Regions from separate parts of the Mus musculus genome. Here all the other regions are reported to be linked to region 3. The links are microRNA targets in miRTarBase. Many come from high-throughput screens and were not tested one by one. Region 3 holds a microRNA gene; each other region holds the end of a gene's coding sequence.

Region 1 (4,093 bases), not on the chromosome of region 3:
AGAGCAAGGTCATATTCTAAAAGAACTTTCCCCAAACCCTCCAGATAAGGAACTGCTGCCTTCACTTTTATCCCAATTAACTGGCCCAGTACTGGAACTGCCTGAAGCCACCCGGGCACCCCTAGAGGAGCTTATGATGGAAGGAGATCTACTTGAAGTTACCCTAGATGAGAACTACAGCATTTGGCAGCTGCTGCAGGCTGGGCAGAATCCCAATCTAGAGCGCATTCATACACTTCTGGAGGTGAGATGTGTCATGGATAGTCCTTGGTTTCACTACAAATGTGGACCACATACACCTTACTTACTTACTTACTTACTTACTTACTTACTTACTTACTTACTTACTTACTTACTTACTTACTTACTTACTTATTTATTTGTTTATTTATTTATTTATTTATTTATTTTGTCTGTGTATTGTAGCTTGAGAAGCCTGAAAACCCAGGAAATTGGTCAGAGGAACAGACACCAGAGAGGCGACGGCAGAGGAGGCAAAAGGTGGTTCTGAGTAGAAAGGGTGAGGATTTTACTCAAAAAGAGCTAGAATCAAAAAGAGTCAAGAGTTCAAGGATTAAGCCTAAGGAAGAAAAGTTTCAAAAGCCAATACTTGGGGATAATGTGCTGTACACACACCATACAGAACATACAAACATCTTAAAAGAGCACATAAACAGTGTACAAGGAAAGGATCCAAGCCCTTCATCTTCTTTTCCTTCCTTAACACCTTTACTACACCTATCTTATTTTCATCAGCAAAAATTATAACAATAGTATGTGATTATAACAATAGTATGTGATTGTTCTTTTTTCCTACCTTAGTCTTTTCCATTCTCCCTCCCTTGTTCTTTCTTTCCTTCTTCTTTTTCATTTCTTTCTGTTGGTCCCTTCCTTTCCTCCATTTTACTCTATTCCTACAGCTTCCTCTGCCCTTAATCCCTCAGATACCCCCAAAGTATTTGTTTCTTATCTAGAGCTTGACCACAAATTATTTTATCCTTACTCCTAATACATTTTTATGCCATAATTCCTAAGAAGTATTCCCTGTATGCGTTTCCCAAAATTTTACCATCAATATTCCTGGGACTAGCATAGATAAAGTGATGTTCTTAGTTATCTCTATTCTAATCTGGAGAGACAAAAATAAAATTTGAGAATGATAACATTTATTAATCTTTATTTTTAAATCCTTCATCAATCACACATCAAAACAAGTACTTATTAAAACAAGTGTCTTTTAGTTTATAATTTTCATTCTATTTTTCTCTTTGGTTTACATTCTAAAAGAACGTTGTATTTTTAATTCTTAAGAAAAAGGAATATATACAGTAATGCAAACTTACCATAATTGTTTATTTTTAATTTTGTTCCTTTTGATTTTGTTGTTAAAAATAAAACAGTATGGTTAGAACTGCATCTGACTTATACATCTATGGGAATAGAAAAATCAAGGATGGAAATCGTTGCTGTGGGACTCAACAGCATTTGTTTCTGAACTTAAAATACTTGTCTGTATCTGTGTTCTTGGTTCTATTTGTTTCTTTGTTTTGTTTTGGTTTTTGTTTTTTCAAGACAGGATTTCTCTGTGTAGCCCTACCTGTCCTGGAACTCACTTTGTAGACCAGGCTGGCCTCAAACTCAGAAATCTGCCTGCGTCTGCCTCCCAAGTGCTGAGATTAAAGGTGTCTGCCACCACTGCCCAACTCTATGCTTCTTGATACATGTTGTCTAGGTAATGTCTTCATAGCTATACTTTCCTACTAAGTGTCAAATAAGATGAATCCTTTCTTCTCTTTTAGAACGTTGTTTTATTGAACTTATAATGACTTCCTTTTTCTTTTTTTTTAATATTTTTTATTATGTATTTTCCTCAATTACATTTCCAATGCAATCCCGAAAGTCCCCCATACCCTCCCTCCCACTCCCCTATCCAACCATTACCACTTTTTGGCCCTGGCATTCCCATGTACTGGGGCATATAAAGTTTTTGTGTCCAATGGGCCTCTCTTTCCAGTGATGGCCGACTAGGCCATCTTTTGATACATATGCAGCTAGAGTCAAGAGCTCTGAGGTACTTGTACTGGCTAGTTTTGTGTCAACTTGACACAGCTGGAGTTATCACAGAGAAAGGAGCTTCAATTGAGGAAATGCCTCCATGAGATCCAACTATAAAGCATTTTCTCAATTAATGACCAAGGGGGAAAGGCCCCTTGTGGGTGGGACCATCTCTGGGTTGGTAGTCTTGGGTTCTATAAGAGAGCAGGCTGAGCAAGCCAGGTGAGGCAAGCCAATAAAGAACATTCCTCCATGACCTCTGGATCAGCTCCTGCTCCCTGACCTGTTTGAGTTCCAGTCCTGACTTCCTTTGGTGATGAACAGAGGCATGGAAGTGTAAGCTGAATAAACCCTTTCCTCCCCAACTTGCTTCTTGATCATGATGTTTGTGCAGGAATAGAAACCCTGACTAAGACAAATTGATACCAGCAGAGTGGGTTATTCCTGTGACAACCTGACCATGTTTTGGGGAGGACTGTGAAAAGACTTTGTAACTTTGGGCTAAAAGATCCATCCGTTATTAAGAGCTCTGTCGGATGTTGTGTAGGAGCTTGGAAGATAATGTTGAGAACACTGCAGAAGATGGAGGTCTGGTTTGTGAAATTTCAGAGGGAAAATTAAAGACTTTTCAGGGCCATTGCTGTTTTGATTGTGAAGATTCTGTAGTTCTGATTAGCTGGGGCTGAAGAATCAGCTGTGATTAACAAGAGACCAGAACTACCAAAGCAAAAACTTTGCATTACTGGGACTATTGATGCTGGTTAGCTAGAGCTAAGAAATTAGCAGTGATAAAGAAGAGACAAGCATCATTGAGGTGACATCTTCTGGGAAGTGTTTTCTGAAAGCACAAAGAGGCTGTGTTCTGGAGATAGTCAAGGTTGTACTCCTGCTGCAGCGGGACTTAGTAATATGTAAGGGTCACCCAGGTGGTACTGGTTTTGAAGGCATGAAGGGGTCATGCAAAGCAGCTGAGGCTCGGCACTGTAATAGGCCATGGAAGGCCATTGGTGAAGGTGCAGCCTCATTTGCAATTGAAGACCCAGGACTGAAGGGGTCATGCAGTGTTTTGGAGATGCCAGTACCATGAGATGACCACCAAGAGTAGCAGCAGCAGTGGAGTACAGGCATCTGGAGCCTAGAGGATGACATGTGTGCTACAAAGGGTATGGCTGGAGAACTGACCCCAAGCCCTTGGAGGATCCCAGAAGATTGTGAGTTGGATCCCAGACATTGGACGGTTAGAGATTGACTTTTACTTTTGATTGTGACTGTGCCCTGATATATTCCCTCTTGAAGGAAGAAACTGTTTTAGTGGAGCCCACAATTAAGAGACTTTTAATTGTAAAAAGACTTTGGATTTTAAAAGAGATGGATATATTAAAGAGATTGAAATTTTAAGATTATGTAAAGACTGTGGGACTTTTAAAGTTATTTAGATCTTGGAGATGAATAAGTTGTAAGGGTTGAGGCTAACTAATGATGTTTTTGTGTGTCAAGTTGACAAGGGGTCAATTGTACTGGCTAATTTTGTGTCAACTTGACACAGCTGGAGTTATCACAGAGAAAGGAGCTTCAGTTGAGGAAATGCCTCCATGAGATAAGGCAACTGTAAGGCATTTTCTCAATTAGTGACCAAGGGGGAAAGGCCCCTTGTGGGTGGGACCATCCATCTCTGGGCTGGTAGTCTTGAGTTCTATAAAAAGCAGGCTGATCAACCCAGGTGAGGCAAGCCAATAAAGAACATCCCTCCATGGCCTCTGCATCAGCTCCTGCTCCCTGACCTGTTTGAGTTCCAGTCCTAACTTCCTTTGGTGATGAACAGCAGCATGGAAGTGTAAGCCGAATAAACCCTTTGCTCCCCAAATTGCTTCTTGGTCATGATGTTTGTGCAGGTTTAGAAATCCTGACTAAGACAGTACTGGTAAGTTCATAATGTTGTTGCACCTACAGGGTTGCAGATCTCTTTAGCTCCTTTGATACTTTCTCGAGCTCCTCCATTGGGGGCCCTGTGATCCATACAATAGCTGACTGTGAGCAT
Region 2 (4,093 bases), not on the chromosome of region 3:
TTTATAGTCCCCACTAACACCATAGTTCTGACCCAAACCAAAGCCACTTAAAAACCAACTCATGGATGCATCCCCCAAGCCCTCTGCCCTCCGTCCCCATCGATGCTCATAACACCAACGACTGTGGATCCCAGCCGCCTGCGTGCCCTCCCCTCCCCCAACCCTCCTCCAAGTCCCCAGAAGGGCTCAGCCCACTCCTGACCAAAGTGTTTCCCTTGCAGATCCGCGTCGTGAAGGCGTTCCGTAGCTCTCTCTATGAAGGGTTAGAAAAACCCGAGTCTCGAACCTCCATCCATAACTTCATGGCTCATCCTGAATTCCGGATCGAAGATTCCCAGCCCCACATCCCCCTCATCGATGACACCGACCTGGAAGAAGATGCCGCGCTCAAGCAGAACTCGAGCCCGCCGTCCTCGCTCAACAAGAACAATAGCGCCATCGACAGCGGGATCAACCTGACGACCGACACGAGCAAATCAGCTACCTCTTCAAGTCCAGGGAGCCCCATCCACAGCCTGGAGACGTCGCTTTAGCTGAGGCCCCTGTCGCCTGGCCACGCTCATGGACCCGCCGCCACCCGCCTCCAGGCGCACACCCTTCCAGGCACCAACTCCCCGACACAGCAAGGAGCACTGGGCGGAACCCACACAGCAGAGAGGGAACCAGACCTTTCTCTGGCAGCCATGCTGTTTGAACTCTTTTTCACTCCTTAGGCCTTGGGCGGGGTTGCCCTGGGGTCATCTGGAGCAGAGAGTGGCGTGGATTTTTTTTTCTCCAAAACATAAAAAATAATAATAACGAATTAATTAAAAAAAAAAAGAGCCTTTCCAGGCTCCAGCCCAGACACGGACCAGCCATGCACCCGCCGGCCACCGTGGCCCCAGCATGAATGTACCTGGACACTATTAATCCCCTCCCTCATTTGGTTCTTGGAGGGCTAGGGAGGGGAGTTTTTTGTTTGTTTCCTTAGGCGGGAACTGCAAACAGGAACTGGAACAGAGACTACTGTTCGTTCAGTCCACTGGTCTATGAGGTTTCAAATGCTTGCCCAGCATGGTCTCAAATGTCTAGATTAATTTAATAACTTTTTGAAATCACAGAGTAGGTTTGCACCAATGAAACCCAAGAACTCCACAGACACTCACGAGGTTATATCCGTTTCTTTGTATCTATATCAACGTATACTTCTTGAAGACTGTATACGTGCGTATAGATAAGTAGATATTATATATATATATATATACATATATATACATGGATATATAAAGTTCCTTTGCCGGCATGTTGCCTTGTTTCTGCTTAAATTGCTCTATTTTAACTTATGTCCTAAAAGAAGAATGTAATTTGTTTACAAACCTGTAGATAATGTCTTTGGCTATTTGTGTGGTTTAAGGACACTGGTGGCCAAGATGCTTACAAACAGCTCGGGCCCAACAGACACATCCCCTGGATTGCATCCTTGAAGTTTTACGATAGCCATGCTCTGATTTTTGCCTGCTATTTCCGTTCAATAATGTCACTACTGTGGGAAGCTCAGGCAGAAAGCCAACGGCTCCCAAGGATCCACCCTGAGGAGCTAAGCAACGCGCTCGCTCACTCCACCGTAGACAAGGGAGAAGAGGAGAGAAGGCTTCCTGGGTTTGCAACACGGCCGTCCAGGTCTGGTGACGTCAACGTCTGTAGTGCACCCGGAGAAGGAAGACTTTTCTCTCAATGAAACTCGCTTGAGTTTACAGAGAGCATTTCAGAACTGAGTTGTCTTTGGCACTGTCTGTGAGTCAAGGTAGTGTTCAGATATTACAAATGCTATTGTGTTGAATTTTTTTTTTTTTTTAGTTAGTAATTTAGAAGTTTCTTTTCTTATAAACGGCAGCATAGACACTGCTGACATACTGGATGAGGGTTGGTACGGCTTGCTGCTTTTGTTTTTTTTTTTTTTCTTTTTGAAGAAGAATAGCCTTTTTTCTCTGCACTATTTAGATCCGAATGAACCTTATAATGTGTACATTGAGATGTATTCAGTGTGATTTTTAAACCAAATTGTCTTCCTGTAGTTACAATATATACTGTAGCCTTTTAACAGCAAGTCCTGCTTTCCCAGACAGAAAGCCATTCTGATATCTTCCCATATCACAGGTGAGAAAAGGTGGCTATCCCCTCTCCCAACAATAACAGCACTAGTTATCCCACTTAATAAGAGCTTGTCTGTCGGCCTCTTACTGCTAAGCACTTTGTGGGTCTCAGCTTTTTTTCATAAAAGAACTTTTGTATTTAATACAAAGTTTGCTTTGAGACTTTTCAGCATACAATCTTTTTCCATAAACTTGTACAGTGCAAAAGACATTTTGAATACCATGACCGATGATGTCCCGTGCTTCGAGGAAATCAAACACTTTCCGCCTCACTTGTGAACTCCATCCTTCACTCTCTCCCTCCTCACAATCGCTCCTCCTCGCTCTTCAGCCTGGCCCCCCAGCCCTCCTCCAGGCCCAGAGACCTCTTCACTAAACAAGATGACAGCCACTTGGGAAAAGAGCCATAGTCAGCTGGGAGGGCCCACGTCTGGATGGCTGTGAAAAACTTGAGTTCTTGGTTTGGGCTTCAAAGTCTGCCCATCCCACCTGGCCATAATCTTTCTATAAGGAAGAATATCTCTGAAGGATTCTGATTGTATCCAGGAGAGAGAGAGAGCTACCTCTCCAGCAGGTGGACCAGCCCTAGATGTACTCACTGGATTCCAGTACAGACACCACCAGAGCCAGTCCATAGTACCCCTCCAAGGGAGGGAAGGAAACCCGGGGCTGCCTTGGAACAGGATAGGTTTTTGGTTTGGTTTTGTTGTTGTTGTTGTTGTTGTTGCTGCTGCTGCTGTTGTTGTTTGATTGGTTTGGGACTTTTGGTGGGGAGTCCTTTGTCACATTTTTCATCCTGCCCTCCTTCATTCAACCATGCATCTATGACCTCATTCCATGCCACCAGGGTTCTTGCTCTTAACAAACCGGGGTCCTCGGGCTTTGGAACCAGGCCTCCAGGGCAAAGAGGAAGGGGTTCTCTGAGCAGAGCCAGGTTCTCAGACAGGAGCAGAGGAAACTAGCAAGGAGGCCTGACATTAGTGCTGGCTTCCCGGTGTCAGGAATGAGAGATAGCCTATGCCCCAGCCCCTCACTCTCACACTCTTCCATACACACACACACCTACACAGGAGATGGTTGGTTTGTCAGAACTCACTGTAATACACAAGCTTGCACTTCTGCGTCCTATATCTAGCAGCATGGGATACGTTTGGCAGTTCACCCCATTAGGGGGTCAATAATTTATGACCATTCATCTGTTTTTATGAATTTTTTTATCTAGACAATAATTGTAAATAAAGAATTCACCGTCTCTGCTCATTTAATACTATGCAATGGTTATGTTTTCCATGGCTGGCTCTTCTGGCTCACATAGGTGTTTCTGATGTGTCTATGGTATTTAAAAAAAAATCAAGCAGAAATAGGAAATCTCTACTCTTTTCTAGCGTGGCCCCCACCCCCTTCTTTCCTGTCCTCTGCATTCTGTAAGTGCATCAATCCCCTAGCCTGTCAGATAACTGAGAAAACACAGGTGAGCATCCAGCAGGGGACCTGAACTTTGGCTCTGGCTACTTCAGAGTCACCCATCTGTGGAGGGATAGGGAGAGGCTCAACTTGCTGCTCCCAGCTATCCAGGATTGAGGAGCAGCCTCCATGTCTCCACCCACCCATGCTCTCCTATCCTCAACCCAACCACAGCAGAGCTGACTGGAGGGAGGTGCCCTATTTCTGAGAGTGGATGTGGCACTGGCTGCTCCCAAGCCAGAGCCCATCCTATCCTGGGTCCTCTGGTTAATAAAGAACCACTGTGTCCCCATGCCTGTTGAAAAGCCACCTTTGCCTTCTCCTAATTTTTTACACAGACTTCAGTCCAACTCTAGAATTTCTCTTTCACTCCCTTATCTGGCACCAACCACATGTTCTAATTACTGTCCCTCTCAAACATGTTAGTGTACGGCAGGGGAGTAAGTCCCCCTCCCTGTTCACAAGATTTCCCCACCCCACCCCCATCTGTTCTTCTG
Region 3 (4,000 bases):
GGGTTTGAATGCCAGCCTGTGGCAGGGGTAGGGGGTTGGTTGCTCTGCTGTCCTCCCAGGCCTCGGCACCAGCTTCCTGCCTCATCCAAACGCCTTTCCAGGCCCTGCTGTTTGGGCTTGGCTTCTCCCTGTGGCTCTGCTCTGGGCATCCCCAGGCTTTGCCTGGATGGAGACTTGAGGTCCATAGCTCTGCTGACAGCAGCCACCCCAGAGCCTAAGAGACACTGGCCCTCGATGACAGCGCTCAAACCTGGCCTCCACTTTATTGAAGCTTCTTTGGCTGGGGAGCTTGGGAAAGCTCTCTGGGCTCTGGAGAGCGTGGTCGGGAAGATGGAGAGGGAGCGGTGGCTAAGCTGTGTCTGGATTTCTGTTCCACTCTAGTGCAACTTCTCAAGTCCACGGACCTGGGCCGGCACAGCCTCCTGTACTTAAAGGAGATTGGCCACGGCTGGTTTGGGAAGGTAAGCATGCCCCGGGGTGGCAGGAATGGCAAAGGGTGGACCCACTACTCCTGGGGATCCCCTAGGGAGGGGCTCTTTCTAACACCCGCCCCAGACTGGACCATGTACCTGATTCCTTTTTCCTCATTGTAGTCCCCAGGCAGTGAGAAAAGTAGGAGCCTTGTGGGTGGACTGGGGCTGAGGGTTCTAGCCAGAGCTTGGTGAGAAGTTGTATGACCATCTGAGGCCCTGGGCGCTAGATGGCTTTTCCTATGGAGACTGAAAGGGGACCTGGTGATGCCTGTCACATTTGGCAGGTGTTTTTGGGGGAGGTACACTCGGGCGTCAGTGGCACGCAGGTGGTGGTGAAGGAGCTGAAGGTGAGCGCCAGCGTGCAGGAGCAGATGCAGTTCCTGGAGGAGGCGCAGCCCTACAGGTGGGTGGTGTGGCGGGGGCGGGGTGGGGCCGGGCAGGGGAGCAGCACAGTGGGAGAAACTGAGGGCTATGGGACACCCTCTCCTGCCCTCCAACTTAAACACCCGTGGACTCTTCCAGGGCCCTGCAGCACAGCAACCTGCTCCAGTGCCTGGCCCAGTGTGCTGAAGTGACCCCCTACCTGCTGGTTATGGAGTTCTGTCCACTGGTAAGTGGTCCTCTCGGGGAGGTAGCTCTGTCTCTCCCGGTCCTGTTCTGTAGCTCATTGTTCCAAAGGGGAGTGGCTCCTCTCTTGCTCAGCCTCTTGGGGTCTTTTGTTATTTCTAAAGTAGAGTCCTGGTAGTCCTTGCTCTCCCTCAGAGGAGGTCTGCGGAGAGAAAGTGAGCCAGCAGCAGCAGGGGCAACACTGTGGGGTCTTGGATAGTTCAGCGAGAGGTGTCCTGGGACAGCCACAGGGCTCCCGAAGCTCCTGGGGCAGAGCCTGAGTTCTGGGTCTTCGTGTTGCCCCTTGGGCCCTTTACATGCACAGCTCTGGTGGCTGCTTATATGGAGGTCACTGTGCCAGAATTGAGACACAGGCTTTGCTGAAACAGCAGTGAACACTAGGGTTCACAGCTGATCCACAGGCCACCAGACCCAGGTTCTCTTGGTGTGGGTGGCAGACTTGTGATGGGCTGGTCGCTGCAGCTAGCAGGTGACTGTGTGCTCTCTCGTCCATCAGGGGGACCTCAAAGGTTATCTACGGAGCTGCCGGGTGACAGAGTCCATGGCGCCTGACCCACTTACCTTGCAGCGCATGGCGTGCGAGGTGGCGTGTGGCGTCTTGCATCTACATCGACACAACTATGTACACAGGTGAGGGCTAGCGAGACTAGCCAGGCTACAGCTACAAAGCCCCACTCCCCCAGGGCCTTAACCCTCACCATCACACGACCCTGTGCAGAAAAGTCACGGTGATCCCACGTTGTGGGCCTCATGAACTGGGTTCATCTAAAAATAGCCACTCTGCAGGGAACTTTATCATTCTTAGAACTGGGAAAACTAACTGGGCATGGTGGCTCACGCCTTTAATTGCAGCGCTTGGGAGGCAGAGGTAGGAGAATCTCTGTGAGTTCAAGTCCTGCTAGGTCTACCTAATGAACTCCAGAATAGCCAGGACTATGTAGCAGGACCATCTCAAAATGAAATAAATTGTGAAGACTTGGCATTTGAAACTCACCTTGCAGACAGTTAAATGAAGAAACCCATCCTGTCTACTAGAGCAGTCAGCCATACTTGGGCTCCATACCAACCCCAGCCTCTTTCCCTCAGGCCACAAAGGGAGTGGCTGGGCTGGCCCTGTAGTGGGAGGGGTGGCTCTCTCCTGCCTCTGGTGGCCAGGATGCCCAGCCTCCCATGAGCTGGGGGCACATGCTGGAAGAAGTGGCAACGGACAAGCGGCCCACCAGCTCCAACGCTGCACAGGCCGTCCTCCCCAACAATATCCTGGTGCTGAGTGGGTGCACAGTGACTCCAGCATCAGTGATTTTGTTGAAGAGGGCAGCTGCCAGCCTCCTGCCCTGCCTGCTGCCTAGCCCAGCTGCCCCACCCATAGGCATGGACCCAGGTCACCCCACCCTGTCCCCTGACACAGTCCTCCTGGGGTAGAGGCAGGCCAAGGTGGCCCCATCTACATCCAGAGATCTCTCAGCAGAACAGCCAGTATGGCAGATGAGGGTGCGTCCCGTGGCACTCTATTGTCCTGTACCCCAAACACCTGGGGGTGGGGCGCTATAGCCAAGCAAGAGTTATACAGAGCCTGGCATTCCAGGCTTCCCACTGAGTTGGTGATTTTTATCCTCCACACAAAGGGGCCTTTGTGGTCCATACTGTTCTAGACCTCGGCTCCAGCTTGTGTAGCAGGCCAGGCAGGGCTGCACTCTAGAACATGGGCTCTGACTGCTGGCAGGACCCTCTGAGACACTCCGGGCTTCGGTTTCTCCATCAGTTCTTACCTCCTGGGGACTGGGATGGTGGAGTGTAGTCGGAAGGGTGAGGGTCCTGAGAGGACACTGCAGACTCTCTGCTCCATGGCTTGTTGGCCCTTGTTGGGCAGATCAGACAGAGGGTGGAGCGGGTTAGGGCTCTGGTGCAGTTAGACAGCACTTTGCTGGGGGGGGGGGGTCGTCCTTGAGCATCTTTTGCCTGATTTTCACATGCATTGAAGTGCATTGAAAACCGGGCTTGGTGGCGCAAGCCTTTAATCCCAGCACTTGGGAGGCAGAGTCAGGAGGATTTCTGAGTTCGAGGCCAGCCTGGTCTACAAAATGAGTTCCAGGACAGCCAGGGCTACACAGAGAAACCCTGTCTGGAAAAAAAAGAAAAAAAAGAAGAAGAAGAAGTATTAGAAATGCATTGAAGTCCACACAGGTCTTCCAAAATAGCCAGTACAGGGTGTGGAGCCAGAACTTGGGCACAAGTGGGTGGCCCCTCAGACACCCCTTCCTGTCGGTCTGCCTGGCTGTGCCCGGGAGCCCAACCATTCCACCAGGGCTCACTCAGGCTGGCACACTCTGCTGACATTGCCTTCCACTCCGCAGTGACCTGGCCCTGAGGAACTGCCTGCTTACGGCTGACCTGACAGTGAAGGTTGGTGATTATGGCCTGTCGCATTGCAAATACAGGGTGAGTAAGGCCGTCAGGGCCCGTGTGCAGGGGCAGCTGCTGAGCGGAGCTCACTCCCATCCTGTCCCTGCGTGCTACAGGAAGACTATCTCGTGACCGCTGACCAGCTGTGGGTGCCGCTGCGCTGGATCGCGCCAGAGCTGGTGGACGAGGTTCACGGCAACCTGCTGGTGGTGGACCAGACCAAGAGCAGCAACGTGTGGTGAGCGCAGGCAGGGCTGCCGGGAGGGCCTTGGGATGCCGCCTCCCCAGATGGCGCTGGCGTCAGCTATTCTAGTGGGGATGCTGCCTTTCAGTTCTGCCCCCTGCTCCAGCATTTTGACTTCCTTCTCTGGCTAGGATTAGGGCTGCCACACAGGGAAAGTGTACTCATGCCTGCCACCTTGTGGCCATGAGAGGCACTTTACAGGCTACTTCGTTGATGATGGGTTCCTGAGGTTCCTATACTGGTGTGTGTGTGT
Region 4 (4,000 bases), not on the chromosome of region 3:
TTGCATGGTATTTTAGGCCAATTCATGCGGGTAACAGAAACCAACTTGGATATTCTACAAAAACATTACATGCTCTTAACCAGTGAGCCATGTGGGATGTTAAGAAGAAAACTCTTTCATTTAATTTTAATGTTTAAAAAAAAAAGTAAGTTTTAAATGATTGTAGAGTTAGGACGCATTTTAGCTGTATGATGTAAGACAAGAATGTAAAATCTCAATTTAAAACCCTTCTATTCTTTCTATTCCTGAATAACCAGTATTCCACAGATTGTATTTTCTTTTTAAACCAAATCTAATGGCACTTAAGATTAGAGAAAACAGCTAAGAAAAGCATGAATGGAGAGGCTGGAGAAATAGCTTAGTAGCTAAATTTACTGGCTGCTCTCCTAGAGGACTCGGGTTTGATTTCCGGTACCCACATGGTAGGTCACAACTGTCCTTAAATCCAGTCCCAGGGAGTCTGACACCCTCTTCTGACTTCTGTGGGCACTGCATGCACATGGTGTGTAGGCATAGATGCAGGCACTCGTACACACAAAGAAAAGAAAATAAGCCTTGAGAAATATGAATGAAAAATAAATGAATAACAGCACAATGAAGAAAGCCAGGCAGGGGAGTGGGCATGGTGACTCAAACTTGTAATAGTAGCATGTGGGTGACTGAGGCAGGAGGATTGCCATGAGTTCTACATTGGTCTGGGCTTCAGAGTGAGACATTTGTCAGGAGCCATCTAGGAGAGGTTAAAGGCTAGCAGGTGATCTTCTAGAAATGGTTTACTGTGGAGCTGAGATGATGAGCCCTTGGAGGCAAGGCCAGAGGGACAAGTCTCAGGATTCGATTCCTGCTATCAATACACCTTTCCTGTCATTATTAAGTTAATCTAACAATCTCTGCACACTAGCCTACCTATTGGGCAGGTTTTCTGTAGATTATCAAATAGTACTTGTCTTGTAGTGTTGCTATACAGAAAGATAGATGATTTTTTCCCTTCTATCAATGATTCTATAAGAATTCCAAAGATTATACTAGTAATTATTAAGCCCTTACAATAAGGACTGCAATTAGAGTCCTCTGTAATATGATAGCTGCAACTGGGACTCTGAAATTCTGGGACTCTCTTCTCATATCATGAGCTAATTGCACAAGATGGAAAACAGGCATACAGATTTACTATTTAGGAATACATTCCCTTAGGCAAAATAATAATAATAATAATAATGAACTAAAGGTTGTAAAATAACAAATGATTTATTGTAGGTGCAAGGACAGAAGATAAAATATTGACTGGGTTTATCTATATAAAACTTCAGTGTTAACTTAGACATAAGAATTATATAGTTTTAGACTCTCTATGAACCTGTAGAACAAGTGACAGATAATGAGTGTCTAACTAGATAACTAGTCTTAATGGGACACATGTACACATCTCTGTTGTAAACTTCTTCTTCAATTTATGACTTAAATTAATTTTTAAATTTGTGGTGAACTCTTGATTACTGGAATGCCATGAAATCATGTATCCTGGGAAATATTCAAAACTAGGAATGATGACGCTAAGTACACAGAACACAGAATACAAAAAGAGAATTAGAAACCAAGGCAGATGGTAGAGGGCAGAAGAAGAATGGAGAGAAAGAGAGTAGAAGCAAACTAGAAACTTTACAGGGATGAGGAGCTGAGCAGACAAGAAGAGACAAAACAGAGAGCAGAATTAAGTAGACGTAGGGAGAAAATAGAAGAGAAGCAGAGTGGAAGCGATATGGGAGCAGCAGAATACAACAGGGGCTGAGGAGGAAAAAGCTGAGACTAAGAAGAGAAGGAGCTGCAGGGAGAGCAGAAATCAGCAGGCAGGCGGTTCTTACAATGAGACATTTAATTTAACTTATTTAGCAATAAAAGAGTAGAAGTGTTTTTTCCCTTTCTCTGAGCAATAAAGGTTGGAGCTTATTTTTCATCCAGAATGAGTGAGTTCTTTTTGCACTAGCTCAATAAAACCTGCTCCTGCTCATGGAGGCCTTTGCCCCCCCACCCCCGTTTCTCTCTCTCTCTCTCTCTCTCTCTCTCTCTCTCTCTCTCTCTCTCTCTGTGTGTGTGTGTGTGTGTGTGTGTGTGTAACTATTTGCGTGTGTAAGTATGTAAGTTGATGAGACAGAGACAGATTGCTAGACCCAACAAATAAGTATGAGATAATGAATGTGCAGGTATGAACGTGTGTATAAATGTATGTGTGTTTGTGCATATTTGCTTGGGTAAAAGATTTTCCTATTGTTAGTGTGACTCTCTTCTCCTGATTCAATAAAAGTGTTATTACTCCAAGTCTCCCTCTTTCCTGGCCAGTGAAAGGTGAGGTTCCTGAGCAAGAGAGAAAGGAGCCCTAGCAATAAAGCACTCACATAAAGCTACATATGACAGTCTATAACTCTCATCAAAATATTGGAGGTCAGAAAAGGGTGACCCCAGAAACTCACTGTCCAGCCAGTCTTGCCTAAACAGCAAGCTCCAGGCTCAGGGAGAGCTTGTGCTTTAGTTAGGGTTCAATTGCTGTGTAGATATACTGTGACAACAGCAACTCTTATAAAGGAAAACGTTTAATTGGAGATGGCTTACAGGTTCAGAGGTTTAGTCCTTTATCTTCATAGCGGGAAGCACAGCAACATGCAGATAGACATGGTGCTAGATAGATAGGTAGCTGAGAGTTCAATTTCTGGATTGGCAGACATCAGGAAATAAAGTGACACTGGGCCTGGCTTGAGCATTTAAAACCCCAAAGCCCAGCCCCAGTGGCACACTTTCTCCAACTAGGCCACACCTATTCAACAAGGCCACACCTCCTAATTGTGCCCTATGGGGGCCATTTTTATTCAAACCACCATACCCTGTGTCAGAATAATAATAATGATGACGATAGTGATGATGAAGAGTGATAATGATGAGAAAAAAGAGGAAGGCACTGAACTTTGACCTCTAGCCTTCATACATGTACTTACTCATGGGCAAGGGCCTTGGCACACACATGTGTATATTCATCCATATAAGAGATGTGGAAAGAGAGAAGGAGAAAGAGGTGAGGCAGGAGGAGAAGGTAGGGGATCATTATACTGAGTACAAAAACCAAAAATAGAGGGAACAACTTGTGGGGATATAAATGAAGGAGCACAGACTCTGTCCCGGGTCTCTTATTGCAAAGTCAGATGATGTCAACTGAGTGTAAGACTCACACACAGCAGCATAACCCACTCTGGGATCAGAGGGATGCAGGAATTATCCACAGGAAGCCATAGAGGACACAGGTTCTTCACAGGAGAGCAAAGCTTGGTGCATTTAGATCTCTGAGTACTCCTGAGGCTTCCCTCCCATGAAATCCAAGGAAATCTTAGTGTGGACACTGCTCTGTTCCTGAGGTGAGTCCTTCTGTAAGGGTCTTGGATTCTCAGGATTGCTGTGCACCTTGGAGTCCTGCTGATGAGCCTGTGTGGAGAGGACAGAAAAGGGTCCCACGGCAGGGCACAAGGAGTAGGTTCAGGGAGATAGAGAGGGTCTGTGCAGAGCAGTCGTTATAATAAGGCCCTTGATCCACAAATGGTCCTGAAGTATCACTGGTCATTCACTGGTAAGGGTGAGGTCCCTCCTAAGGTCACCCATCTCGTGCTCTCTACTCCACCCCAGATGTGCCTGAGTCACACCATGCACACTGAGCACTGGGTCCACAGGAAGGCAGCGCCGTAGCAATGAGGCTCTGGCTCAGATGGTAAAGAGATGAAGGCAGATTGGGAAAACAAAACGTGACTGCTAGCATAGCTGCCATGTAGGTGAACCAGCGAGAGACTAAAGAACAGCAGTTTCCCCAAGGCCCACTTTCTACTGTGGGTCTCCATGTGGTGGAGGTGCCATGGCAGTACTGTTAACACAGGCATGAGGTGCCTGTCACAGACCTGTGTATGGAACATCCTGGAGTCACAGCATCAGATGCAGTTGGAGATAGGCAGTGATTATAGGATGT
Region 5 (4,093 bases), not on the chromosome of region 3:
CTGGACGGCAGAGGCGGCCTGGCACCTCTCACCAGCGAGTCCTGCAGCCAGCCGTGTGGGGTGGCCAGCCACTGTACCACTTGCTCCCCTTACCGCACCCCCTTTTACATACGGACAGCTGACATGGTGCCCAACGGGGGTGGAGGCGAGAGGCTCTCCTTCGCCCCTACACACTACAAAGAGGGGGGAACCCCATCCCTCAAGTTGGCAGCACCACAGAATTACCCGGTGACCTGGCCAAGTTCTGGGCATGAGGCCTTCACTAATCCAAGGGCTATTAGTACCGATGTATAATCCTTTCACCCCAATCTGCACACACCCAACACTGCGGTCCCAGCAGGAGCAATGGAGTGTTGGAGGGGACTCTCCAATCGCCCTCTCCCCCAGAAACCATTTCAGTTTCTCTGGCTTCCAGATCAGAGGTACAGTAAGATGTGTACAAGTAAATGCTTGAGGACCAGGGCAGGACCTGTCGCCAGCCCTGTGGCCCAGAGGTAGGGACCTGATAGGTCTGCAATGTCACCAGTTTCTCTCTGGGGATTTTCTCTCTGACAATCAAGCGCTATATGACACCTTCCAATAAGCCCCAAGCCCTTTGCTTTGATGGGTTGTGTAAAGACCAGGGAAAGCTAAGCAAAGGTTAGGGAGGCTTCCAGAGACCTTGGGAGATGAGGTGGGCAGACCTAAAAGAAACGGACACAAAGGGTGAGGCTTAGACATCCCAGAGCTTGAGAGGAGAGAGGAAAGGGCGTTAACGGGGCCCCTCGGGGTTTGCTTGCTAGAATGCACACATGAGCTAGTTTACACTCTGTTATTTACTTGGGTTGCCTGCTCTGATAGGAATATTGAGTTCTGGAAGCACCACATCTGCTAATCTAGTCCCTCCTCATGAAACACATCAAACTGATGCTAAGCGCCACAACACACGACTGCTTATGGGGACTGTAGCAAGAAGAGGCTATATAACCTTGTCTCCCCTTCAAGTCCTTTCTTATGCCCCCCTGCTAGAGAAACTTTTCCAGGTGTCAGTCATTATAGTTCTAGAAGCCCAGGGAACAGATAGATCACATTGATTCGCCCCATCCCTCCATGCCTTGCCACATAGACTCGGCCCTCTGAGGGTGTGCGGATGCCCATTCCTGGGGTGGGGGCTGGCTTCCTCTCATATCCATCACCACCAACAGCCATGTGGCTTTGCCTCCTTCGGGAGCTGCAGAGCAGAAAGGTCCAAGGGACCAACAAGTAAGAAAAATCTGACCCTTTAGCAACTGGACCCAGAGGCAATTCAAGTGGCCAGTCTCCATGGCAACCAGAAGGAGGGAACTGAGGCAATGGTGCCACAGTTAAGTTCCCACACACCTGCATAAGCTCCTCGAGAGGCTGGTGCATCCCATGAGTGTCCATCTATGATGTGACATTATTAACAGGACATTTTATCCCACGAGGGGCTGTGGCCTTCTCATCTGAGTTTTGGGGGGATCTCCTGAAGGTTGGCTGTGTCTTTGTAATTAGATATTATGCTTGCCTCTTGGTAATGAGCTAATTTGCTGTTTCAGATCCCAACACCTCCCACTTTCCATCTAGCAGTGGCCTTATGGGGTTTTGTTTTTTGTTTTGTTTTGCTTAGTTTAGTTTAGTTTTGGGTTTTGTTGTTGTTGTTTTTGGTTTTTTGTTTTTTGGTTTTTTTTTTGTTGTTTTTTTTTTTTTGTATTTTTAGTTCTCCAGTTACCTCCGTGATTCAAGGATCGCTGTCCCCACTTCTAAAAATTAATGCCTGCACATTCCAGAGTCTCGGAATGCTATGGAGGGTGGGCTGGTTTTTCTCCTGAAATCTTGTTGGCTGTTGGTTGGTTGGTCTGACAAAAAGCAGGGTGCATCTTACATGTCCAACTGTAAATAATGAACACAGGGTTAAGAAGCAGGAGACACTCTCTGCTCATGTTCTGTCCACTCCTTAGCTCCTGGGACCAGTCAGGTGTCTTCACTCAGACATCCATTTTTCTCCAGGAACGAAGAGCTTGTCCCTTAGTGTTCCACAAATCTGAGACGTCTTAGACCTGCTCCTCAGCCTCGTCTCTTGCCTTCATCCAGGCCAGGGCTGGGTGGACTCTCCTGCTGACTGATCCTGGGTACAGGGACATTTGTTGTGGGTTAGAAACCACAAAAGGGGTGCTGGGAGGAAGCACGGACAATTAGAAGACAAAATCATTTGAATTGCTGTCGGGGCTAAGGCAGTAGTTCAGTTGATAGAGCTCTTGCCAGGTCTGCACAAAACCTCAAGTCTCCAGCACTGCATAAAAGCCAACTTGGTGGGTACACCTCTATACTGGGGAGGTAGAGGGAGGAAGGTAGTTGTTCAAGGTCATCCCTGGCTACGTAGAAGTTCAAGGTCAACCTGGGGTTCCTGAGACACACACCCCTCTCAAAAACAACAAAAACATTTGTTCAACCCCCTACTGAGCAACCTCAAAAGGCAAGTACTGCCTCTGGGAGCCTCAGCAGGAGAGCTAACCTCCCCCTCTCCCCGGTGCAGAGGGATGGCTCTGCAGTTGTTGTGCACCCAGTCCCGCCCATCTGCTCATCCTGGGCCATGTGCAACCCTTTGATTTGCTGCTGGGCCTGGCAGCTTTCCCCACTTCCTCTCTACCAGCCCAGTGCCTTGCTCTCCTGTGGTCCCACAGCTTCACCCTAGATAACAATGCCATCGTACCCATGCCTTTGGGTAAACCAAGAGAACCCAGCCATCTGTAAGCCACTTTTCTACTATGGGCTCTGGGTATAAAGCACTCTTTGCCTTTGTGTCTCCAGCAGGGCCACAATTCAAAATCTGGATCCCAGGTGTCAGAGGGGACGGGGAATACACACTGCCCTTCAGCCCACATTGTTCAAGGCACAGGTTCCACCCTTGGCTACAGGTCACCTGACCCCCTCACTCTTCACTGTAGCATCATGAGCATCTTCCATCCTTGGGGAAGAGGAGGCTCACCCAACTCGGCTCTTCTGTCCCATTAGCTGCTGAGTCTGTACCATGAGATACAATTTGTCCACTCTTCAAACTGAACCCTAAACAGGCAGAGAAGGGAGGCCCGGGGAATAGCCAGCCCTCTCCACCATCCTTCTCCACATCACTCCGCTCCTCCTGCTGCAGATTTCTTGTCTTGTTGTATCTTTGATAACTTGGAACACAAACCAAGCGAATGTCAAAATAAAGGAGAAATTTTAAGTAGAAACCCCAGAGGGTCTTCCTTCCACTCTTTACCTGGGGGTGGGGCAACTGTGCATGGCTTTAAAATGAATATTCATCTGAACACTGGAAACATCCAAAGTCTTTGCCCTCCCTCTCCTTTTCTGCTCACACATTAACAGAGCTCTCACAAAGCCGGCCCAGCCAGGGGCCCTCTCTGCTGCGTCAGCCATCACAACCTGGGAGCATTTCCTGTGTCTTGAGAAAGGGGGCTTTAAGTGTGCCAGAGATAAGTTCTGGGTTGCAGAGGAAGATACCCCAATTCCATCTCAAGTGACCGGGCAAGGCAAACCTTACTACAGATCAAAACTCCACTACTCCGAAGAGTGAACACACCCAGTCAGGAAGTACCTTTGGTTTTTGTTCTCACTCAAGGGGTGACTCTTTTCCCATTACCTGAGATCCTCGCGGGCCTATTCCGTTGGCTTGTCTGAAAAGAATTAGTGTACAGGAACTGTAGGAGCAAGCGGGAAGGGCTCATTGCTCCAAGAGAGAAAAGGCCCCCTCATAGCTCAGGGCCTTTGCATTCCCAGAAAACAGCAGGGTCTTTGCGTAAACAAATATTTAACGGGGTGGAAAAGCTATTAAAATGCTTGCATAAAAGTCTTACTTAGTGGGAGAGATTAAAAGATGTGACTTTTTTGTCCAAAATACAAACTTCACAGTATTTATTTGGTAGTTCTTAACAGGTGTCCTGCCCAAGATGGTGAACTCACTGCGGGGCAGTTCAGACTCCTGACTTTCCAGGCCTGTAGTTTCTCCTCCTCTCTACTTTTTGAGTCAATTCATTGTTTCATAGACGAGTTAACAGCGTTACACAATCAGCCTTGTGTCTGATGGGAAGGGCGA
Region 6 (4,093 bases), not on the chromosome of region 3:
GTCAGCAGGGTTGTGGTTTGAAGGGCTACCCAGGAGCTGCGTGGGTTATCCCCTGCTAGAGCTCTTTGGGATGAATGCACAGGGTTAGGAGGATAACTAACATCCTGTCTGTGTTTCTGCTGTGCACATAAACACTCGTGTTTTCCAGGGTAAGTCCAAAGAGCAGCGTTCCTGAGACTGGCCTGATAGACTGCAGCACTTCACAGGCCGCCAGTTCTCCAGAACCAACCAGCCTCAAGGGCTCCACATCTCTGCCTGTTCACTCAGCTTCCAGAGCTAGGAAAGAGCAGGGTGCTGGCAGCCATTCCGACGCTTGAAGAAAACTGTCTCGTTCCCCCAGAAGCACATGTATGTTACACTGGAGATGACCAACTGATTTGTCTTATAAAGGCCACTGTTGAGCTGGGAGAGTAGCCCAGTGGTACAGCGCCCACCTGGAATACTTGAGGACCTGGGGTTGTCTCCCAGCACTGCAAAAGGAAAATTCACTGTTACAGTCTTCCTTGCACTTAAACCAGCTTTGTCTATTGTTTTTTTGGTTTGGCTTTTATTTTTGTTGCTGTTATTTTTGTTGTTGTTTGTTTGTTTTTTTGTTTGTTTGTTTGAGACAGGGTTTCTTTGCTAGCCCTGACTGTCCTGAAACTCCCTCTGTAGACCAGGCTGGCCTCAAACTTACAGAGATCTGCCTGCCTCAGCCTCCCGAGTGCTGGGAATAATGGTGTGGTCACCACTGCCCAGCCTTTTGTCTGTTTTTAAACTTGAAAGAAACAACAGCCCAGATTTCAAAAATAATATAATGCATTTATACCTAAAAAACCAACCAGGAGTGCCCAGTTAATAACACTTTTTAAATGTGGGGATGGGAAGGGCATTAGAGGAGTCTTCCTTCTATTGAAGATTCATTAAAGTATTTTAAGATATGCTCTTTCACTCTTTATATAAATCCAAGATTTTTCTTTGCTGAAGTATTTAAAACTTTTGTACCTTTATATGTAGATATGAATTTGAAAATATGCTTATGTGTATTTGAACTTTTGAAAATCCTAGAGAATTGAATCAAATATTTTTATGATGTTTTTCTACTATTTTAGCTACTTTGCGACTGTGATAGCTGTTACACTGGATTTTTAAAAAACTTGTACAGCAGCCTCTTTACAGTAAAAAGAGTGGGTGTCACACTGAAAGGTCTGTAAGAAGTGGTCACAGCCACCCCTACCTTCCCCAAAAGGAGGAACTTGGTGGCAGGTCCCTCCCTGATTGGACTGTCCCTTTCTTTCTGCATGTTATAAATCAGCAGGTAAGATGGTAGGTTTTTACAAGTTAGGCCGAGCTGTCGATTCCCCTTTTAAGTGTTGAATTAGGATTGAATTATGGCCATTTGTAGTTGCTCGTGCCTGTCTTTATTTTAGTATTTTATTTCCCGAGACAGGAACTCACTGTGTGGTGCTCCTTGGCTGTCTGGTGTTCAGTCTGTCCCAGGCAGGTCACAGAGATCTCCCCCTCTGCAGCCCACTCATCTCTCCCAAGCCACCACACTCAGCTTTTATCTGTTTTAAAAATTTAAACTTAAAAAAATGTTTTTGGAATAGTACAAACACATTGTGTTGTAAATTTCTTTGATGCTATGCAAAATTCCTATCTGCATCTAAGCCTGCAAAAGAAAATGTGCGAAGGGCAGAGTCAGAGTTGGGCAGGAAGAGTGTAGTGCAGCAGATGCAGCGTGAAGACACTGAAGGTGCTAAGACAGCGTCTCAGTGCTGGTCCTCCTTAAGGATTATCTCGCCAGCGAGGTTTTCTTAGATACTTTGATCCCATTGGAGCTCTGTTAAAGTTTAAAATGAAAATTATCATGTACTGTATGGGAAATGTAAATACTAACTTTTCCACATATGTAAACTTCAGACACAAATTTTTTTGTGTGTTCTTTTCATCAATAAAATTTTCTTTGTATAAAAGATTGTATTGTGTGCTAGGTATATAGTACTGACCCAGAAACAGTGTAGCCGTTTTAGATTGATAAAGGCAGAAGTCAGAAGCTTCCTTTCAGCGGAGGTAGGAGAAGACAGTGAAGAACTTGCATATTGTCAGTTTCTTCCCCAAGTGTAGTTTTATAGCCATATTGCCTACAGTGTGTTGGAGCCCATGGGAGGCCTGCTAGATTAGGCGAAGCAAGCCGGAGTCCTTGGATCTGCTCCCAACAGTGGATCAGATCATTTAACCAAACCTCCTCAGTGAAGCAGTCTTGCTTTCCACATACTAAACAGCTAATAAAGGGAGGACTTGTCAGGTAGGACTCGGGGTCAGAGGAATTCCTGTCACCAAGCCCAGGGTTTGCAGCTTGTCTTGTCTGCAGCCATTGCTACAGAGTGTTGCAGAGAAGTGGACAGTGTTATGGAAGGAGTCTCAGAGTGAAGCTAGGTAAGCAGGAGAAAGGGACCAGTGCCTTCCATAAATTTAGAATTGTGACCTCAACCACCTGAAAACCACCGTGCTTCATGCTGTCTGTGTGGGACAGAGAAAGCCCAGACTCTGGCCCGGGGTTAGGAGCCTCACAGTGGAAAGCAAATGAAAGTCTTTTAGAGAAAGAGGGTTATTGTTTATGCCCTCTGAATTTGTTTCAAGACAGGTTTGCTGGCCTAAGCCGGCCTACATTTTACTGTGTACTCTAGACCAACCTCTGGATTGATCACTGTCCTTCCTACACCTGAGTGCTGGGATTACGGGACCACACCACCATGCTTGGCCATCCACAAACCCTAGAGACTGGAGACAGTTCAGCAGTTAAGAGCACTTATTACAGGGACCTGAGTTCAATTCCGAGGATCCACAATCATCCCTGACTCCAGTCCCAGGGGGTCTGATGCCATATTCTGTCCTCTGTGGGCACCAGATACACTGGCAGTGCACAGACATACATACAAGCAAAACACTAATACACATAAAATACATACATGTATAATTTTAAAAAATAGTGTATCAGGCCAGGCATGGAGGAAGCACATGGTTTTAATCACAATAGTCAAAAGCAGAGGTGGGCAGATCTCTGAGTTTAAGTCCAGTCTAGTCTACATAGTGAGTTCCAGGACAGCCAAGGCTATGAACAGAGACCCTGTCTAAAAAACGGGGGGGGGGGGGGGGGGGGGGAAAGGGTCTATCATTGATGTCCAGGAGTCACTCCACAAACCACACAAACACTGATCTTAATCAGACAGGGAGAGTTTACTGAGCACGTGCCTGGGAACTGATCAGTCAGGGCTGCAGACCAGACTCAGGACTTTACTACAACCCTGAGGCCAGTATCCTGTGGAGCTTTTAAACCTGAAATCCACAAACGCCTGTGCCAAATTATTCCACCAATCAGGATTTAGGCATAGGGGACTTCCTTAGGAAAATGTCTTTGTTGTACTCTCAACCTGTTCCCATTGGTTGAGGTTCACCTGCGGTGGGGCCTTGCCTTGCCTAGCATTCACGTCTTAACTTGCAAATCAGAATGTCACTTACTTTCATATACATGTCGCTTTCATCCAAATATGGTGTCAATTCCCAGGGAGATTTTAGGAACTTAAAACTTTACCCGACCCCTATGGTACATGTGCCTATGTTGGGTTCCATCCCAGGGGCTGCTTATAAAGGCGACAACCATAAAAGCCCATACATAAGGGACAGGAGGCACTGCTGGGCAGTGGTTTCTGCTCCAAACCTATTGTGGCTAGCTATTCAAAGTCACTCTAACTGAGCTCTATCGTGACTGGATTCCAAGAACACCAAAGCATAGAACATAATGGAGTTGCAATCAACTTGGACATAAGAAAGCTTCCTTGTAACAGCATAAAATGGCAGACTAGAAAGGCAGCAGTTATCCAGGACTTAACATATTCTATAATAAATTAGTCATGATTGACCAAAATAAATCCATTTTAAAAATCATGATCTGTGACAGGCTTTTTCCCAAAATCTAGTATATGGGTATAAAGTGTTACTAAATGTGGTTTTCTATAAATACTAGAGAACATTAAACTAGCTACCATGACTAATGAGCCTCCAAGCCTTACAAGTATTACAAACATTCTCCTGACAGGCAGAGGTGCTCTTG
Region 7 (4,093 bases), not on the chromosome of region 3:
AATGACACTGTAAGCCAACTAATACCAGACAGACCATTTTTTCTGGACAAGCTATGAAATCGTACAGTAACACCCATTATAGAGGGGAATCAGGATGCTGTAGGATGTAAGGATCTTCTTGCTAAAATGTGGATGCTATGCTGGAAAAAGGGAAGTAAAAACCCACCCCAGTCCAGACAAGTACCACTTCTGCTCCTCACCAACTTAAGAACTGAAATGTGTCTCCCTCTGAGAGCAGTAACTCACTTGACTCTTCTGAGAACACCTCGCTGGCATTTCCACTATAAGGAGACCACTTATTAACAGAGATGTGTGCTCTCGGGGGAAGCATGTTAATTTACTTAATACATTTTTTAAAAGTAAAGATAAAACTCGTGTGTGTGTGTGTGTATGCTCTGCACATGTATGAAGGTTGGATGAAGCGTGAGGAAGCTGGCTTTCTCTTCCCACCATTTAGGTCCCACAGATTGGCAGGCTTGGCAGCAAGCACCTTTACCAAGTGAGCCATCTCAAGCGCTCTTACTCGCTTTTACAATAATATGCATGCTAGTCTAAAAAAGGCCTAATGTTTCTGAAGAGAAATTAAAGGCTATTATAAGTTTCTTAGGCAAAAAATTTTGAAAGAACCATAGATGGTGTAATTAAAAGCGAATCTCAGAGCAATAATTCTAATCAGTATGTTCTCCACTACCATTCGATGGAACAACAGCTCTTAGGACACATGGAGTACAGCTATTTCTTTCTGTCTCTCTTCTTCTAAGACAGAGTTTCATCTAGGCAGAAGGCTGGCTGTGAAATTTGCTATGTAGCTGAGGGAAACTATGCACCTCTAACCCTCCCGTCTTCACATCCCCAGCACTAAGGCCGCAGGTATGTGCCACCGTGCCCAGTTTATGTGGTGGTGAGGATGCAATCAAGGGCTCATTGAATCTTAGGCGAGAGCTCTACCAACTGAACCATTCTAAGCCCTCAGCTATTTCATTAAAATAAAACAACAGTCTTTGGGAGCTGGAGAGATGGCTTAGCAGTCAAGAGACTGACTGCTCTTCCAGAGGTCCTGCGTTCCATTCCCAGCAACCACCTGATGGCTCACAACCATCTGTAATGAGATCCAATGCCCTCTTCTGGTGTGTTTGAAGACAACTACAGTATACTCAGATAAATAAAGTAAATTAAAAATTAAAAGAAAAAACACAATAGTCTTTGTTAAATAACTTTGATGTCAACTATTTTTCATTGATTAAGTGATTAGTTTGAATTTCTCATAGATTAGGGAAAAATTTTTCACTTGAAATATGAGTTATCTATTTGATAAGTAGTATTATTCTTTATTACTTAAGAAAAGAGAGGAGTATTCTTTCTGGAGATAGCTAGCTCAATACTAAGAGGACATTTTCAAATCAAGGAAATCGAAGGACTCCAAAAGACTGTCATTTTGTCTTGAGACAGTCTCTCTATGTAGCTCTGGCTGTCCTTGAACTCGGAAAGATAAACCAGCCTCTGCCTCCCAAGCGCTGGGATTAAAGCCATGCACGACCACACACAGCCTAATAGATCACCTTAATACTGAAGTCCTGCTAATGGTCAAGTTCCCATCCTTAAGTGCAAATTATGACATCCGTTAGTGATTCCTTTGGCAAAAAAGTTCCAGCCGAGTATTAAAAAAGTTTTCTTAATTCTTGTTTTAGATAACAAAACCAAAATAAACTTTAAAATTATATACTCACTTTGCTAATACTTTTGTTGTTGTTGTTGTTGTTGTTTTGGCCATCAAGAGCTTTAAATTATAGAAGACAAAATGAAAGCTACGGCCACTTGGGTGACCATAGACAAGTCATGGGCAGAAGTGAAGTGGAAGGTGGTCAGTCAAGAGCTACTTCTGTGAAATCAGGGATCTACTGTGTTCTATTCTGTCCACTTGGTATCAGAGGGAAACTCAGAGCATGCTCCAGACAAGAAGAAAAAGGAAGAGAGAAAAAAATAAAACAAATAACTTCAATGACTAGGTCACTGATTTAAAAGAAACTTATAAGCCAGTGAGCACTGCCATATAAATTAGTCAGACATTTTATTATAGAGTATATATATATTTATATCAAAAGCACAAAAAGACTTTTATTCTGGGAACTAGGAAGAGTGTGACATTACAGAAGTATGATTCAACAATTCCAGTCCATTTCCACAGGGTTAGGTGCCCCATCGGCTGAAAAGGACAGCTGAGGCGGAGGCCACAGCTCTGAGCCCCCATGGCCCCTTAGCATGATTTCTTAACTCAAACTGAGACCTGCATTTCCAAACCCTGGGTACCCACTTTCCAAATATTTGCTACAAATTGAAGTGGGTACTGAGCCAAAAATCACACTCAAAAATAACCAAAGCTAGCGCTCCTGTATGCTGGAAGATTAATCCTCAAATAATAAGGATATCATAATTGGCACTGTCATCTAATTCTAAATAAAAGAATCATCAAACATCCTGGTGGATCTGCAATGAATTACACAGGAAGCAGTAAAACTCAGAGGCATCCTCTAGTAACTGAGCTAGAAGCGAGTAGCAGATAGTGAGACCCGTCACCGCCTTTGAAGGGGCTGTTAGCAATCCTTAGGCATGGCTGGCAGCTCAGCTCCCACTTCTCAAGGCTTCACCACATGGAACACAGTGGCTGTGATTTAACAAGGACCTTACTCTTCCTGTTTGTTCTTACAGGCCGTTACTATTCTTTTAAAACTTACTCCCTGAGAGGTCCCGGACTATGTCAAGTAGATTAGAGTAAGCTTGCATTTTATCTTCTTGGAAAAACAGAAAACTATCATTTTCTACACTCACTGCCTGCTTAATATTTAAACAGTCATCAGGACAAAGTCAACTTCTGAACAGTTTTGAGACTACTTTAGGGATAAATGTAATGTTTTTAATATCAAATTTATACTAGCCAAGGAGTTAACTGGTGGTGCCGAAAATACAAACGTAAATGTCTTAAAATAGCAATTTGTGCCACCCAGCTTACTAATTAGTAAAGTAGGTCACCACTGCGGATTTATTGCTTTTAATGTGATGAATACCAGATTTGACAGCTGAACTTTGCAGTGGGACACAGCATACTTTTATCTTGAATTCCTTCCTCGAAGTAGGACATGTATATCCATGTAAGAAAAAGACCGTGTAGCAGACATCTCCTCAGTCAACCAGTCTTGTAAACATTGTGTTGTGCAGATTTTCATACTTTGATTCCAAAAATAAGAATAGTTAAAGGCAAATTTAGTAACTGAGGGGTGGGGGAGAGTCTGTCCAGTTTGACTTCCTGCCACATATGGTTACCACTCCTCCCTTCAGAAACAAAACAACAACAACAAAAACCCTAGCAGCACATAAAAAAAGTTGCAAAACATTTCAGTACTCTTTCCCTCCCATAAAACCAAACAAAAATAAAGTGCAGCACCCATAAAAGTGTCAAGAAAATAGCCAGGCTCTTCCTTTCTCGTAACAAACTAGTCCTTGGGCTCAGCAGTCTAGCTGAGTCACACAGTGTCCATCATTCGGTCATCATCTTCTTTGTGTACCACTGAGTCTACACTGCACAGAGGGGCAGGGGTACAACACTGAAGAGAATCTGGATTCTGGGGGAGAGAGAAAGAAAGACAGACGGGGAACAACACTTGAAAAGCAGCTTCACACCACACATGCAACTGTGCACACGGCTTCACCTTCTATTCCTCTGCAGCAGAGCATACTAGGAAAGAAAGTGGAATTGTGGAGTCCACACAGACCGAAACCTGAAGAACTAAAGATAGAATGTTATTCTTTATCCAGACCGAGTGCATATACAGGAACAGAAATGTTACAGATACCCCTCTTATCTCTTTTAACAAAACTATAATTTTAATTCTTTAACCATACAAGGTTAAACTTCCTCATAAGCATTACATTTAATAAGCATGCCTTTAGGAGGCTGGAGAGATGACACAGCAGTACGGAAGACCATGTTTAGTTCCCAGCATAGACATAGCAGCTCACAACCATCTGAAAGTCAAGTCCCAGGGGATCTGAGAGCTGCATGTGGCCTCCGTGGGCACTGTATGCACATGACACACAG

The links. The annotated mature microRNA mmu-miR-3065-5p reads UCAACAAAAUCACUGAUGCUGG and lies in region 3 at 2,388-2,409, opposite strand. An mRNA with a match to its seed (bases 2 to 7 or 8) in the 3' UTR can be bound and repressed. Matches are read on the target gene's strand: a 7mer-m8 pairs with bases 2 to 8, a 7mer-A1 pairs with bases 2 to 7 and ends in A, and an 8mer does both.
Region 1: the mRNA of Kdm5d is a reported target of mmu-miR-3065-5p. Seed matches in the 3' UTR shown: 7mer-m8 at 1,379-1,385.
Region 2: the mRNA of Atp2b2 is a reported target of mmu-miR-3065-5p. Seed matches in the 3' UTR shown: 7mer-m8 at 2,835-2,841.
Region 4: the mRNA of Cd33 is a reported target of mmu-miR-3065-5p. Seed matches in the 3' UTR shown: 7mer-A1 at 2,814-2,820 and 7mer-m8 at 2,170-2,176.
Region 5: miRTarBase lists Fam163a as a target of mmu-miR-3065-5p. Seed matches in the 3' UTR shown: 7mer-m8 at 1,646-1,652, 7mer-m8 at 1,688-1,694 and 7mer-m8 at 2,141-2,147.
Region 6: miRTarBase lists Fzd6 as a target of mmu-miR-3065-5p. Seed matches in the 3' UTR shown: 7mer-m8 at 553-559 and 7mer-m8 at 568-574.
Region 7: the mRNA of Cdc37l1 is a reported target of mmu-miR-3065-5p. Seed matches in the 3' UTR shown: 7mer-m8 at 3,348-3,354 and 7mer-A1 at 2,160-2,166.

Annotation. Positions count from the first base shown.
Region 1 is chrY:942,398-946,490 of GRCm38, forward strand. It overlaps Kdm5d (lysine (K)-specific demethylase 5D), which reads left to right. Exons shown (of 26, transcript NM_011419.3): 25 at 45-244; 26 at 427-1,414. The coding sequence ends at 768. Among named protein-coding and RNA genes, the nearest start is that of Kdm5d, 47 kb to the left of the region's middle.
Region 2 is chr6:113,744,977-113,749,069 of GRCm38, reverse strand. Atp2b2 (ATPase, Ca++ transporting, plasma membrane 2) reads left to right here. Exons shown (of 20, transcript NM_001036684.3): 20 at 222-4,093. The coding sequence ends at 533. Among named protein-coding and RNA genes, the nearest start is that of Sec13, 6.3 kb to the right of the region's middle.
Region 3 is chr11:120,013,189-120,017,188 of GRCm38, reverse strand. It overlaps Mir3065 (microRNA 3065), which reads right to left and starts at 2,422; the gene lies at 2,336-2,422. Aatk (apoptosis-associated tyrosine kinase) reads left to right here. Exons shown (of 14, transcript NM_001198785.1): 4 at 382-461; 5 at 758-876; 6 at 996-1,083; 7 at 1,597-1,730; 8 at 3,455-3,539; 9 at 3,620-3,741. Mir338 (microRNA 338) reads left to right here and starts at 2,327; the gene lies at 2,327-2,424.
Region 4 is chr7:43,525,541-43,529,540 of GRCm38, forward strand. It overlaps Cd33 (CD33 antigen), which reads right to left. Exons shown (of 6, transcript NM_021293.3): 6 at 1,916-3,468. The coding sequence ends at 3,322. Among named protein-coding and RNA genes, the nearest start is that of Cd33, 5.6 kb to the right of the region's middle.
Region 5 is chr1:156,075,098-156,079,190 of GRCm38, reverse strand. Fam163a (family with sequence similarity 163, member A) reads left to right here. Exons shown (of 5, transcript NM_177838.3): 5 at 1-3,235. The coding sequence ends at 294. Among named protein-coding and RNA genes, the nearest start is that of Tor1aip1, 41 kb to the right of the region's middle.
Region 6 is chr15:39,036,238-39,040,330 of GRCm38, forward strand. Fzd6 (frizzled class receptor 6) reads left to right here. Exons shown (of 7, transcript NM_001162494.1): 7 at 149-1,955. The coding sequence ends at 317. Among named protein-coding and RNA genes, the nearest start is that of Gm7194, 3.9 kb to the right of the region's middle.
Region 7 is chr19:29,015,530-29,019,622 of GRCm38, reverse strand. It overlaps Cdc37l1 (cell division cycle 37-like 1), which reads right to left. Exons shown (of 7, transcript NM_025950.4): 7 at 1-3,617. The coding sequence ends at 3,519. It also overlaps a transcript of Ak3 not described here. Among named protein-coding and RNA genes, the nearest start is that of Cdc37l1, 27 kb to the right of the region's middle.